2 linked regions of the Cricetulus griseus genome follow. The protein of the gene in region 1 purifies or fractionates together with the protein of each later gene. This does not show direct contact. Links are inferred from orthologs where the notes say so. Each region holds a gene or a part of one and is shown on either strand. Other genes may lie near its edges.

The links. Proteins that work in one complex are often made in the same cells at the same time.
Region 2: the proteins of Ube3d (region 1) and Dnaaf2 purify together in Homo sapiens (affinity purification with mass spectrometry; 4 studies listed by BioGRID and IntAct, counting the BioPlex papers as one, with this or other methods). This does not show direct contact. The link is inferred for Cricetulus griseus from reciprocal best matches to the Homo sapiens genes UBE3D and DNAAF2.

Annotation. Positions count from the first base shown.
Region 1 is NC_048597.1:196,576,357-196,583,788, forward strand, and holds the start of Ube3d (E3 ubiquitin-protein ligase E3D), read right to left. Parts: upstream 4,988-7,432; 5' UTR 4,874-4,987; coding exon 4,797-4,873; intron 1-4,796. UniProt on the Homo sapiens protein: E3 ubiquitin-protein ligase which accepts ubiquitin from specific E2 ubiquitin-conjugating enzymes, and transfers it to substrates, generally promoting their degradation by the proteasome.
Region 2 is NC_048598.1:134,171,674-134,179,235, reverse strand, and holds the start of Dnaaf2 (protein kintoun), read right to left. Parts: upstream 4,727-7,562; 5' UTR 4,690-4,726; coding exon 2,866-4,689; intron 255-2,865; coding exon 108-254; intron 1-107. UniProt on the Homo sapiens protein: Required for cytoplasmic pre-assembly of axonemal dyneins, thereby playing a central role in motility in cilia and flagella.

The DNA of each region.
Region 1 (7,432 bases):
AGTATTTAGGCATTTGTACTGGCCTGCCTTTGGAGTTCTGACAGGATACGCCCTCAGCTGCTGCCACTAAGAGCACCACCTGTGCCTATTCACTTACGTTCCCTTTTAAAAGGACCTTGCCCAACTCCCATCTCTCCCTCTCCCCCTCCGTCCCTCCTCTTCCTCTTCCCAGTTCCTCCCCCCACCCTGTCTCCCACTGCTCCTGTCCCCAGAGGCCTGTCACCCCATTCCCTTTCCCCCTTTTACCACCAATTTCCCTTAATACAAAACCCTCCATTTGAACTCTGTCCCATGGTGTCTTTCTCTCTCAAAGCCACATTTGTAAAATTACAACACCATGATCTCTTAGGCCTGTTGCTTTGGGCCTGAAGGAAAGCTGAATATCATGGCAAGGAGCATATGGCAGAGCTGCTAGTCTCATGGTGGTCAGGAAGCAAGGAGAGCAAGGGGTACTTTAACTAGAACCTACCCCTCACGGCTTCCATCTCTCCCAATGGCCCATTTAGGTATGCTTTCTTCCACTTGGCATCTCATATCTCATACCGCATCCCATACAGTTTGTTAAGCAAATGTTACATTAAATAAAGACTTTGTCTCCACCCCTCACCTTTGTCTGTTGTATTTTTCCTGGAAGTTGACTCTATTCAGTATTTTATGGTTTTTTGTTTTGTTTTTTAATTTCTTGACCACTGTTCATTCACCCATTGCTACTATGAGCAGGAATGTAAACTGGTATTGCCACTGTAGGGAAGTTTCTCAAAAACTAAAATTAAAACTACCACCTAACTGTGCTACATTAGTCCTGGGTATATATCTGGAGGACTTTTGTTTGTTTGTTTGTTTGTTTGTTTGTTTGTTTGAGACAAGGTTTCTCTGTGGCTTTGGAGGCTGTCCTGGAACTAGCTCTTGTATACCAGGCTGGTCTCAAACTCACAGAGATCTAGCTGCCTCTGCCTCCCTGCCTCTGCCTCCCGAGTGCTGGGACCATCGCCCAGCCTGGAGGACTCTTAAGTCCCATCACAAAAATACGTGTACATCTGTGCTGAGTGCTGCACTATCCACAACATTAAGGAAATGGACCCAGGCTGGATGAGTGGACAAAGTAAAGGTGATCCATAAACACAGTGAAATTTTATTCTGCCAGAAAGAAAAATGAAATCATGGCACTTCCAGGACACAGATAGAACTGGAGCTCATCAGATTAATTCAAACTCAATCAAATACCACGTGTTTTTCTCATGGGTGGATTCACCCCGAGTTTTGTTTTTTGTTTTTTTTTTTGTTGTTGTTTTTTGTTTTTTCTTTTTTTGTTTTTATGGAGACAGGGTTTCTCTGGGTAGCCCTGGCTGTCCTGGAACTATAGCCCAGGCTGGCCTCAGACTCAGAAATCTGCCTGTCTCTGCCCCCCAACTGCTGAGATTAAAGGTGTGTGCCACCACGTCCATCTGTGGATCCTAGATTTTAATTTTTATACTTGTGGGGGTGAGTTTGGGTGTAGGTCATAAAATGAGAAAGGGGACAGTGAGAGTGAAAAATGAGGTTTTAAGGAAACAGAGAGATGAAAACGGAAGAGAAGGTAACAGAATGCATTTGCCCTGAAGCAGAAGAGAACAGTGAAGGGGAGGGGCCGGTGGGGGTGGAGCAAAGGGGCAAGAGAAACAATGAATGTACAAACCCATCACTTTGTTTACTAACTTTAAAATGCTAATATAAAAGTTAAAAAAAAAAAAAGACGAGGAACCAAACTCAACCATATGAAGAAATAAAGGTACTAAAAATTCTAATGAATGCACAGATTGTCAAATTTTCCATGACAGAAACACTCAACAGTGTGCTACTTGGAGGGGAAAAAAAATCACTTATAAAGACACAAGTTTAAAGTATAAAGGCAGGAAGGGATGTTCATACAAACAGTGTAGTGAACTGATTTCTCATACAGATATTGAACTATCCAATGAGAAAATTACAGCCATAATTAAAGATCATGGAACAACTGGATATCCATAGATAATAAATACTTTGATTCCTACTTCACTGTGAACACAAAAAATTAATCCAATATACCAGAGATAGAAACAAAAGTGGTAACCCTCCTTAAAAACAAATGCAGAAAAGCTAAGCAGAGGGTCAGTCATGCTTAGGGTCCCAGAGACTTGGAAGCTGAGGCAAGCAGAGGGGTCCCTTTAAGCCCAGGAGTTCAAGGACTAGCTAGCACAGCAAGACCCATTACTAAATAGAGACATAGGTAAAAGAAACCTGGGGTGGGTCGGGGGAAGTATTCACAAAGTCGAGGTAGAAAAAGATTTAAGATATTAGACAAGGCTGGAAAAAAAAAAAACTTGAGAAACTGGATTTTTATTAAGATTTAAATTTCTGCTCATCAAAAGACAACATACTGAGTACCCCTAAGCCAAAAGGCCAAAATGCGCTGGAATGAAAATGATTCTGACCCATACCACTTTGCTAGAGATGCTCAAGAAGTCTATGCAAATACTACAAACTCTAGAAAGGTCCAAAATCACTTCAGGCCCACCCAGACCTTTTCCAATAAGACATATTCACTGTGTATTAGGAAAACAAAAATGTCTGCCACAGATGCAGGAAGACATCCACAAATCCTCACGCATGTGGCTTTCTATTGTTTCAACTTAGCAACAAGACTAACCAGTTTTTATTAGCTAGAGATGAACCTGCTTTTATTAGTTAGAAACCATAAGATACTTTACAAAATAACACACTTGGATTATCAAAAAGCAGACGAAAAAGTTCTCAACATTTTAAGTCACCAAGGATAAACCATAAAATAATTCCTCATCCCCATTAAAATGGCTCAAACCAAAAAGATTGGCCACATGAGAGAACTGTTTGACAGTTTCTCACAAAGAACTGGGCACCTCTATCCTACATTGCAGGATAATGTAGGATATTTCCTAATTTCACCCTTAAGTATTAATCCAAGGGTATACATGTCATAATAAGACAAGACATTAAACAAGGCTGGGGGTGTGGCTCAGTGGCAAATGCATTTGCCTAGTTCCAATACCCAGCTCCCATCACACACACACACACACACACACACACACACACACACACACACACACACACACAAATCTTATAAAGCAAATCTAATGCAGCTGACTCATAGTAAACACTTTCTGAAAATAAACAAAACATCCAGCAATAGAAGAATGAGTTTGTGGAATATCCAGACAATGGAAAATTACTCAGTAAGTCACAGGAAAGGAATACTAATATAAGCAACAACACAGATGAACCATGAATCTCACAGCCCTGTTGAAGGTTCCCAATGCTGCGGAGGCAGAGGCAGGCAGATCTCTGTGTGTTCAAAGCCAACCTGGTTTACATAGTAACTTATACTAGTCTTTGATGGTCTCTCAAAAAAAAAAAAAAAATGCTGGGGAAAGCAGAAACAAAACCCAATGCATGCTGTGAAAGCTATGTCAACTTGGCTACATCTGGAATGAACCTAAAATTCCAAAATGGAGTACACACCTGTGAGAGATTTTTGCTTAATTTGAAGTAGGAAGATTCATTTCTAATCCAGACCTTTGAGGTAGATGTGCCTTTATCCAGATCTGAGCTGGGATAAGCCACCTCTAATCTGGGCCACACATTCTGCTGGAAGGAACACCGAAGAAGGAAGTTCTTTGCTCTTTGCTTAGTTGCCCTGGCTCTCAAGTTCATCCCTTCACTGGGGTTAGAGCCTACTTCTTTGGGATTCCTAAGTATACTGAAGACCAGCTGAGCTATCTAGCCTCACGAACCGAGCAACTACTGGATTTTTTGGACTTTCCATTCATACATAGGCAGCCATTGTTGAATTAGTTGGACTGCAGCCTGTTAAGTCATTGTAATAAATCCCCTTTCTATATATAGAGATTCATTCAATAAATTGTTGCTCTAGAGAACCCTGACTAATACATGTGTCAACACAGGTCCAGAAACAGTGACATTGTGTGGAATGGCTGAATGAAGAACACGGTTGTTACTAGTGCAGGGGAAGTGACTGGTGCTAGAAGTCAAAGGTCAAACAGAGACAAATAAGCTGTCTAGCAAAGTAAGTTTCTTAACTTGCTTACAGGGTTTTTGTTTGTTTGTTTGTGTGGGGGGTAAGGGGTTGTATTTGGGAATGTTTGTACTCTTAATTACCAAACAAGATGGACAGAGCTTAAAGATATCTGTTTGAAATTATGACCCCACTCCTTTATCTAGCACTTCACCCTTCACCCCCATACTAGGGAGAGATCTCAGAGCCTGTACATGCTAGGCAAATGAGTTGCACTGAGCCTAGACTCAATCCCAATCGTAAAACTGAGGAAATTCAGATATACAGATATAGAGATACAGAGATAGATATGCTGCTCCAGAACACATTTTCAGACCTATGTCTGTTTGAAACACTTGTCACAGAGAAATAGGCAAAACCTATGAAGAGATCATTAAAACATTAAAACTGCTAACCGTAATCTAAAAAAGTCTATTTCCCCGCCAGGTTTCTTGTTTGTGTAGTAAATATGAAATCAAAAGTTTGCACACAGGCTGGGGAAACCGGCCAGTGGCTAAAGCGCTTGCCAGGCAAACATAAAGATCTCAGTTCGCCACCCGATCCCGTCCAGCGCACGCGCACATTGTCTCGCGCGCGCGCGCCTAAGGCCGCTCGCGCTCGCCCCGCCGTCCCGCGCCTCCGCGTTCCCGTCTCGCGCACGTGCACCGGCGCCTCGGTCGCGAGCATGGCTCGCACACGCGGTCCCGCGCACCGGCGCCTCCGCCCTTACCCCAGGATTAGCAGCGCGCTCTGCAGCCGTCTCCGCACTTCCAGGAACACGCGCGTTTCCGCCGCAGCCACCGCCATGGCCCACTGAGGCCCGCACACGAGACCGAGCCCGCAGTTACCAGAACCCGGACAGAGTGGGAGCACGTGTCGCAGGCGGCTCCCAGGCGGTGGCCGGGCGGGATCCTGTCGGCTACAGCGCCGCCTTGCGGGCGGAGAACGCACTGCTGAGGCGCGGACCCTGGAGTGCACCTCCCGCCAACCCTGCTCTTGCAGCACAGGGGAACAGAGAACAGAGCCAGAACAGAGAACAGAACAGGATGAGGGAGGGCTTGATCTGAGCACTTCTCTCCCTGAAATGAGCAGAAAGATCAAACTTGGGGGCCGGGAGGGATTCCTCTGGATGGCTTGGGTAGGAATGAGGAAGATAATGGAGCAGAAACAGTAGAGATGGGTACTTTCTCCATTTCCAGAGCTGAATGGCCGCCCCAAAGCCCACTTTATCTGAGTCTCCTCTTTTTGGAACTAGGACTGTTTATTAGCTTCCGTGTCCATTGTAACCAAAATGTCAAAGATCGATGGGGTATTGCATTCGCTTTACAGGATAGCTCCAAGACTGAAACAGTTGCAAAAGACGTAAGGTCTCTGTAAGCCATGAAAACACAGTGGGTAGAGTCTAGTAGCTTGTATTGAGGGACTAATCATTCATATAACTTTAGAGAAGCAAAACGAAAATGAGTAATTGCTGATGTACGCCCCCACTATACTGCAGAAATAAAAGACTCAGCGAAGTTATAATTTCATTGCTACTACAAGACACATTTTCAAAGTTTGACACAGTAAAGGATATGGTATGGTGTAAACAAATGTATCAGGCCATGGAATTTCAATAGGATTTCTTTAAAAATAAAAGGTTGTTACTTAAATCAATGATAGCTTGTATAAAGGAAATTGTCTTAGGGTTACTGTTGCTATTATGAAACACCAATGTAGGGGGAAAAGGCCAGCCAAAGAAACACACCCTGAGCAGAGCCAAAAGAAACACACTTTGGCCCTAGAATCAGAGCCAGTGAAAGAAATACAGAAGAAATAAAATTAGAACCAAAAGGCTGAAAAGGACCAGTGAAGGAATCACACTTTGGCCCTGAAACCAGAGCCAAATCTGACCCTGAACCTGAGCAGAAAACCAATCCCTGAGCACAAGATCTAGCCAATCTCAGCTCAGGGAATGAAATCTGACCAATCTCCACCCTGGAAATCTCCCTGGAAAAACTCTGCCTCAAAGAAGCCCTATATAAACCCCGTGTCTGTTCAGCTTGTGCTTGTGGGTCTGTCCTGCTGGTCCTCTTCCATCGTGGCAGAAGCAGCCACTCTCCTGGATTCTTCCCTCTTGATAAATCTCTTAAATGAGGTTTGGGTGAGACCTTCCTTTGCCGGAATGGAGTGGAGGAGAGAAACAACTTTTGCTAGAGCCAGAGCAAAGTAGAGCAGAGCAAGTGGAGCAGGGCTATAACACTTTAGCTGGGGAAACCTTCCCCTAGTGAAGCAGAGTTGTTACACTCCAAAAGACTGGAGTTTAGCTGTAACAACTTCACCAGGAAGCCCTCCCCTGCTGGATCGAGCAGAGCTGTTACACTGGGAAAACCTTTCCCTGAAGCAGGGTTGTAAGCTACTACATTTACTGTGACCTGTGGTATTCCTTGGCTCCAGATTGCCAGAATACCTTTCCAACCTAGTTGTAATACTCAATACTCTTTGGCTCCTGAGTGCCAGAATCCTTGCTGATCCTGAAAGGCCCCCAGAGACTCAGGCCCCCAGGATCTCATCCCAGGACCTCGGGCACCTCAATCACCATGAGGAGGCAGAAACTTGATGCAAACAGCAAGAGGCATTAATGAAAGGTGAACATTTGTCAAACGGGCCTCCTCAGCACGCAAGTTTGGCTCCAGGGCCGCCCCGACCTCTAGGCACTGCCGGTTTTAAAGGCAAAAGCCACAGCTGTTGAGTACGTGACCAGAGTCACAGGTTCCTAGGAGGCCCTTTGTCTTGAGGGGAGGGCTGGGAATCAGATGGCCTCCTGACCCACCAGTTGTAAACCCGAAGACCTCAGGATGTGCTAACTAAACTTGCCTGAGTAAATTGTTAATTGTTGACACATTGGCCAGTGAGCCCCTCAGGGGAGGGTAGCCATCTGGGAATTCTTGGTACCCAGTTATCTTTTTTTTTTTTAATTTATTTATTAGTTCCAGTTAGGGAACAAGCTTGTTTCACATGTAAGTCCCTTCTCCTCTCCCCCCCTCACCCCCATCCCTCCTCCCCCACCCCAGCCCACCCCCCCACTCCATCCACCCACCACTCCCCAGGCAGGGTAGGGCCCTTAACAGGGGCTCTGCAAAGTCCACCAAATCTTCCTGTGCTGGTACCCAGCTATCTTATGGCCTTGTAAGGGAGTAATTGCTGGTGGTTGGTAAATTCCAGGCACTAAGTCATAGTAGTGGCCTTGGTCAGTTTCTGGGCTATATTTCTTTGCTAATTTTTAAGTCTTTCAATCCAACCTGTTGAAATGCTTACAGCCATGACTAAAGAAACTTGGAGAGGAAAGGGTTTATTTAGTCTATACTTCCACAGTACTGCTCATTG
Region 2 (7,562 bases), on another chromosome or scaffold:
GACTTCCAGAACAACCAAGGCTACACAAAGAAACCCCAATGGGCCAATAGTCACGTTACATATTCTTGCCATTAGTCACTCTCCTTTAAACTCCACTAAAATAATACCTTTGCATGAATCTGAATCTTCTCATCTGTAACCTGAAGAACTTCAATCAATGGTGGGGGGGCTAGGGACCTCTCCTGTGTCAACGGGGAATGCAGGACCTCTTCAAGAAACTCATTAACATTTTCTTCATCAAGAAACAATCTTTCCTAAAGTAGAAAGAGAAAAAATATTCTATTTTACAGGTCACCTTAAGAGTTCTTACATAGTTCATAGCTTTTACAGTCTCTAAAGTGTTTATCTCAGCAACCATAAGTGCTATCTTGAAAAGACGAACTCTAGTTTTGTCCAGAATATAATAGGAGATCCACCTAAAAAGAGAAAGATAAAAGGAAGTCTTGATTTTTTATTTAAAGTTTACTAAAGAGGAGGTGTGTGCTTTCCCTACCAAGATTATCTTACTTACAAACAGTATTTCCTTTATTTTTTTCCAAATATATACTGTCCGAGGTAGCCCAAGCTGACCTTTGTGCACCTGAAGGTGACCTTGAACTTCTTTTCTGCTGCTTCCACATCATTCTATCTGGTGCCCCTGGTATTTCTTAGGAATATTCCCTTCAAGGCTATAAATGCAATCTTATTATAGTTCAGCTTCTAATAACTCCTATGTCTTTTAAATTCTTGACTATGTAAACTGGATGCAGTGGCTCAAAACTGTATTTCCAACACTTGGGAAGCAGAGGCAGGAAGATCAGAAGTTCAGGGTCACCTTCAGCTACACAGGAGTTCAAGGCCACCTTAGGCTACCTCAGACCCCAGGTATCAAACAAAATACAGAAAAAGTTATTGGCCCACTTAAGAACCCATTACAATATTTAAAAGAAGCACATTCTATTTATTTTTAAATTTTTGAAGCAATGTCTGGGTCTAACAGAAATCATTCAATGCTGGCTTTAAGAAAAACTACAGCACTCAGTGCTGGGCACAGCATCACACACCTCTACTCCTAGTGATCAGGTAACAGAAACAAATGGATTCTGTGAGTTCCAGGCCAGCCTGGTCTACAAAGAGAGTTCCAGGCCAGCCAAGGCTACATAGAGAAACACGTCTCAGAGGAAGAGAGAGAAAGAACGAGAAAGAAAGGCACTCAGAAGGACAAACACACTTAAAAACATGAACGAAGGTTTTCAAAGAAGTCACCATATGTTTTATTTTTAAAAATTGATATATTTGGGCTGGAGAGATGGCTCAGAGGTTAAGAGCACTGACTGCTCTTCCAGAGGTCCTGAGTTCGGTTCCCAGCAACCACATGGTGGCTCACAACCATCTGTTATGAGATCTGGTGCCCTCTTCTGGTGTGCAGATAAGCATGGAAGCAGAATGTTGTACAGATAAAAAAAAAAAAAAAAAAGAATATTGATATATTTTAGTGTGCCACATGTACATAGTTATTTAAAAGGAAGTAGATTTTAAGACAGTAACAGGCTTCTCAACTAGAAAATTTAAGCATCACTATCACCCAAATCTAAACACAATATAGTTTTTTTTATATTCACATCCAGTAAGGAACAGCCATTTAACCATATTTAAAATTATTTAATTCATAAGATCAGTTTAGTTACCCCAAATAAGATTATCTTCTGTGCTTTTATATAAGTAAATATTATAATTACAAAGTAAAGATTATTATGTGGTCCAAAGAGGAGGGACAAAATCAGAGATAATTTCAAATTCTCTTTGCTTATATTAAACAGTATTTGAATTTGCAAGTGAACCAATAAATTAGAGGAATTTTACATTTAGAACAATTACCTTACCTTTCTATTACTTGAAGATCCAGAATCTTATATTCTGGATATTATTACTGAAGCACTCCATCAAAAGCATTTCTAAGCCAGGTGGTGGTGGTGTATGCCTTTAATCACAGCACTCAGGAGGCAGAGAAAGGGGCATCTTTTAAGTTCGAGGCCAGACTGGTCTACAGAGTGAGTTCCAGGACAACCAGGGCTACACAGAGAATCCCTGTCTCAATAAACAAAACTAAAAAGAAAATCCACTATAGTTGGGCATGGTGACACACACCTTTAACGCCAGCACTTGGGAGGCAAAAGCAAGTGGATCTCTCTGAGTTCAAGGCCAGCTTGGTCCACATAGTTCCAGGACTGCCAGGGCTATGTAGTGAGACGAACACTTTATCAAATGCCGGCCATGCACTAAATACTTAGGGGTTCTAGCGACAAATAAAACAGAGAAATTTTCTGTGTAATTTACAGCACCCACCAGAGGGCAACCTCACTCCAACAGTTTCATATGGCCAAATGGGAAATAGGGAAGGAGGAGACTAAGGCTAGTACAGGAGAATGCTCTACCTCTGAGCTTAATCTATAACCCCAGCATAAATTATTTCATCTCCGGAAGTATTTTATCATCTGTCCAAATTAAAAAACTTAGAAGTGATTTCCCAAGTTAAAATATGACCACTTTGGAGTGCTTTTTCGACATAAATCCTGTTGAGGACGACTTAAGTTATAACCCTTTTCTCGGGAGAGACACTACCCTCAATTTTTGCATAAAATGCCAGAGGTCTAGGAATCAATAAAATCCAGTCTGGTTAGCCAGTGGATGGACCCCAAGAAAACGGCTGCATTACGGACAACCCTGAAGGCATGAAGTGCATGCTTCGGGTATGTGCAAACTTCGCTTTGAGAACACACTTACCACGCACTATCTTTCATAATATGAATAGGTGGAAAACATTTGTTTAGGTGCCTGTAACAAAAAAAAAAAAATAAGAGTCTTTCAAATAGTGAAAACGGTTACCTCCAAAGAGTCGGTGTTCAAGCCACAATACCATTCTCGCCAGTGTCCACGGCTCTCCGGAGATTTTGCCAGTACTATCACCGCATTGTTTAAAGAAATGCTAATCACGGGTTCTCTGGTACTCAATTTATTCTCTGGAGCAAACTGCAAAGTGAAGCAATAGCCTGAGTCTTGTGTGGAGAAGCACAAATTGTATCGGAGGGGGCTCAGGTCCCCGTGAAGACTTTGCGGCTGAATCTGAGGCACTTGGATGAGCAAAGTCAAGGAGTCTTCGTCCTGATTGCACTGCAAAGGAGGGCACAATGGTCCGATGCTCCCGGCTCCGGAGCCACCCATGGCTGAGCCCGAGGCGTCGTGGCAGCGCCCCTCCTGCTCCTCACACGTCTGGGCATTGAGGTCTCCGCACAGCCCGGGGCTTCCCGCGCGGGACTCGGTGTCGCAGCCCGGGAACGCGGTGCAAGGGGGGCTTCGGTCCCCAGGAGGGGGCCCTTCCCCGAGGCCTAGAGACGCCACCGAGTCCCCACCCAAGTCTCGCTCCCGCTTGGGAACCGGCTCCCCTTCAGCGTCTGCCGCCCCGAAGCCTGGGGCTCCCACACCACTCTCGTCCCCGCGGTCAGCTCGGGTCCTATTCACCGAATCTTCCCGCGCCGCAGCAAGGTCGCCCTCGGAAGCGCCGGCTGCGCCGTCAGTTCCGGTCTCGGCCGCGGACGCTTCCGGCGGCGTCGCAGCGAGGTCCCGGCGGGCGGTCGCCAGCGCCACGGGCAGCGTGACCACCAGCTGTCGCCGCGCCTTGTTGTACTGCGCCTTGCCGCGGCCGTCGTCCACCGGGTAGGGCAGCGGGAGGCGCAGCCGGTAATCCGGGCTCCTGGAGTCCAGGCACAGCAGCTTCCCCTTCACCTCCAGTTCCGCCTTCTCGGCCGAGCGCAGCAGCGGCAGCTCGATGGTGACCACCAGCTCGTGCGGCACCGGGCTCGGGGCGGCGTCGCGCGAGCAGCGGTAATCCTGCAGGTCCACGTGGTGGCGCTGCACCACCGTGCACCGCGGCTCCGTGGGCTCCGGCGGCTGCTCCGCCTGGGGTGCCCGGGGAGCCGCGGCTGCCTGCGCGCGAGCCGTGCTCTCCGCCGCTTCGGGGTAGCGGTACGGGTACGGGTACTGCAGGTCCGGGAGAAGCTCGGGCGGCTCCCCCTCGGGCTGGGCAGGGACGCCCCCGGGAAGGGGCGTGCGGAGCACCGCAGCCTCGGGCATCCCCTTGTACTTGATCTTCAGGGTCTTGGCGTTCCTGCGGTCCAGCCTGACGCCGAACTGCTGCTCCACCGCCTCCAGGGCCGTGGCGTCCAGCATTGCGCGGAATCGCTCGTGGCCCCGGGCCAGCGCTAGGGCGTCCGGGTGGAAGACCACGTCGTAGACGGTGTAGCGGGAGCCGCTGCGCCCCGCATACTTGCGGCCCGGCGCCAGGCTGTAGGGCAGGGACCAGTGGTTGCCCGCTGCTGTGCCGCCGGGCCCCGGGCCCGGGCGGCTACTGGGCGCGTCCACCAGCGAGTTACTGCACACGTTCACGAAGCAGCGGTGCTCCCCGTCCAGGCTGGTTCGCAGCACGTGACCCGGCTCCGGGTGCACGAACCGCACCTCCACCCCGCGCTCCCGCTCCAGGGCGGTGATCTCCTCCTCATAGAGCCTCCGGTTCTCAGGGTCTGTGATCTCCGAGGCATACTCGGAGAACATTCGGCGGAACTCTGGGTCCTGAAAGGCGGAGGTGAGCCGCTGCACCTCCTCTCCGCTCAGATCCAAGTCCTCCAGCGCTGAGGAGGCCGCCGCCTTGGCCATGGTGCCCACTCAGCCCCTCACTCTGGCCCGGTGAAGGACCAGCCCAAACCAGAGTGTTTAAGGCACTTGGGAGTCTGGTACATTCAGAAGTGACCAGCCTAGGAAGGTAACGGCTGGACAGCCGGGGCAGCGCGTGCTTTGTTGCCATAGTGACACCTGGGAGGAGGGGCGGCGGTCTCGTGGGAAGCGTAGAAATAGGCTGCTGCTTCAAGCAGCATTCTAACAGCTGCCGGCTTTAGTCTGCTGTGCCAGGATACACGTACTTTGCAGTCTATCGTGATTAACTGCCCTCATTTTCAGCACTGTATCTTTATCTTATTAACTGTTTACTGTCACAGACAAATGAGAAGTTTCCTAGCCAAGACTACAATTCACAAATCTTCTATCTGGCCCTTTTCACTTGGTGAACCCGATATTTAAGGCCTAATTTTTAGGTATCCCACCTTAAAATTATCCCATAAAGACTCTTTGGGGGCAAAAGATGAACGCTTCAAAAAAAAATACCAAAGCCCATTAGACAGGAAAAGTTACTTTTCATAATGTAAATATAAGGGCTCATAAATCACTAAGCAAAATCACAGACTTTGTCTGGATCAGTTTCCTTGGGTTGAGGATAGAATTAAAATTGAACATCTTTTTAAAACCACAAATCCTTAGATTGAGTCCATAGTTTCTGTGAGTCTATAAGAAAGAATGTAAGCCCCACAAGGAATTAATGCAACAGGTATGGTGGTAATACAATGGAATTTTATGCCATGTGACTTCCTAGGAATTTTGTTTTGTTTTGGGGCTAAGGTCAGGAGCCAGGACCTCACACCTGTAGCATGAGCTCTGCCACTGAGCCACACCTCCAGGCCCAGAGTAAGGCCCAGATCTGGCAAGCCCTGGATCAGTTTAATGTGTGCAGCATTTAGCACGGTTTACTGCACACATTACTGCAGTCACAAGATCTTTCCCAGGTTTTTCTCTCAACTCATCCTTTTTTGTGTGGGGGACAGATAATATCCTGGGATGGAACCCAGTGTGTGGCACCGAGCTGTACCCCAAGTCTGCCATCTGTTCTTTTAGTTGTTTCTGCACAAGTCTTCTGTTATATTTTAAGTAGAATGTCCCAAGACTGGGATAGCACCTTGTCCCCATTATGTCATCTCTTTCACAAATATATGTACTCATATGGACATTGTGAGGCACAACTCTTAATCCCAGCAGAGGAAGGCAGATCTCTTGATTTCAAGGCCAAACTTCAATTTAAAAAAGAAAAAAAAAAAAAAGGATGCCTTCATGGATCTTACTTTGGGATGAAACCATTGACTTCAAAATTAGACCTTCATTCCTACCTGACCACTGAGCCCTTGAAGACCCACATGTTAGATTTCTTCACCTGAATGTTTGATAAGTACTGCAACATGCTCAGAACAGAAACCCTGACACCATCTCAAACCTGAAGTGTCAGTAAACACTACCACCTCCCCAGCTTTTAGACCTAAAACTTAAATATAATCCTTGATTCCTCTCTACCTGTCCTTCACTGCCACTCAGCTACCAATCCTACCTTGTCTAACATGTCCATAAGTGACACCTGTAGCATGAGCTCTGCCACTGAGCCACACCCGCAGGCCATTTCCTTACAGTCTATCTTCACATAGTTGTCTCGGTATCTCTTTAAAGTTACCATTGCATTTATTTGTTTATTGTGAACACCAGTGGATACCTTGGGGAACTCCATTTTCTCCTTCTACAATGTGTAATCCCCAGCAGGGGATCAAACTCAGGTTATTAGGTTCTGCCCACAGCAAGTGTTTAAGCCACTAAACACTTGCCTTGTATCTTTAAACCAAACCTATTAATATCATTACAGTTCTCTCAGGTGATTTAACACCCAAATCTCTTTACTCTGTTTTTTTTTTTTTTTTTTTTTTTTAGATTTTATTTAGTATACAGTCTTCTGCCTGATTGCCAGCAGAGGGCACCAGATGTTATTCAAGGTGGTTGTGAGCCACCATGTGGTTGCTGGGAATTGAACTCAGGACCTCTGGAAGAACAGTCAGTGCTCTTAGCCAGAGCCATCTCTCCAGCCCTCTTTCCTCTGTTCTTAACCTCTTAACTACTCTGTAGTCACTATCTGTCTCCCTCTGGTTTAGCCTAATGGAAGAACACCCTCGAATCTTGAGAATTTAAATGTCAGCTTAACTCCCACCTCCAAACATCCCATCAAGAATTATCCTCTTTAAAGTTTTTTCACTATAGGTCCTATATGGAACTGTTTTAGAGTATAGCTTTCCTTATTTGAAGGTAAGCTTCATGAAACCTAGAACTGTGCTTTTCTGAGGAGGAACTGGATTCCCTGGTACCTGGAATGCATTGGCTATGCATGTAGTGCATGAATGGCTGGCTGTGCATGTAATGCATGCCTATACCGAGGGAGGAAAAGAGCAAGTTTAACATGTAAAAACCGATCCCAAAGTACTTCTGCAGGAGAAAAATACACAGAGAAGAAACTGGGGGGTGTACCCAAATAGTTCACAACTCTTTTTGAAAAAATAAAGATTTATTTTCTTTTTTATTTATGGGTATGTGTATGTGTATCCATGTGTATGTCTACATACATGTACATGGTGCCCACAGAAGCCATAAGAATGTCAGAGCCCTGAAGCTAGGATTATAATTGTGAGCCTCTAACATGGGTGCTGGGAACTGAACACTGATCCCCTGTAAGAGCAGCAAGTGCGGGCTGGAGAGATGTCTCAGAAGTTAAGAAAACTGGCTACTCTTCCAGAGGACCTGAGTTCAATTTTCCGCAACCACATGGTGGCTCACAACCTTCTATGATGACATCTAATACCCTCTTCTGGCCTGTAGGCATACATGAAGGC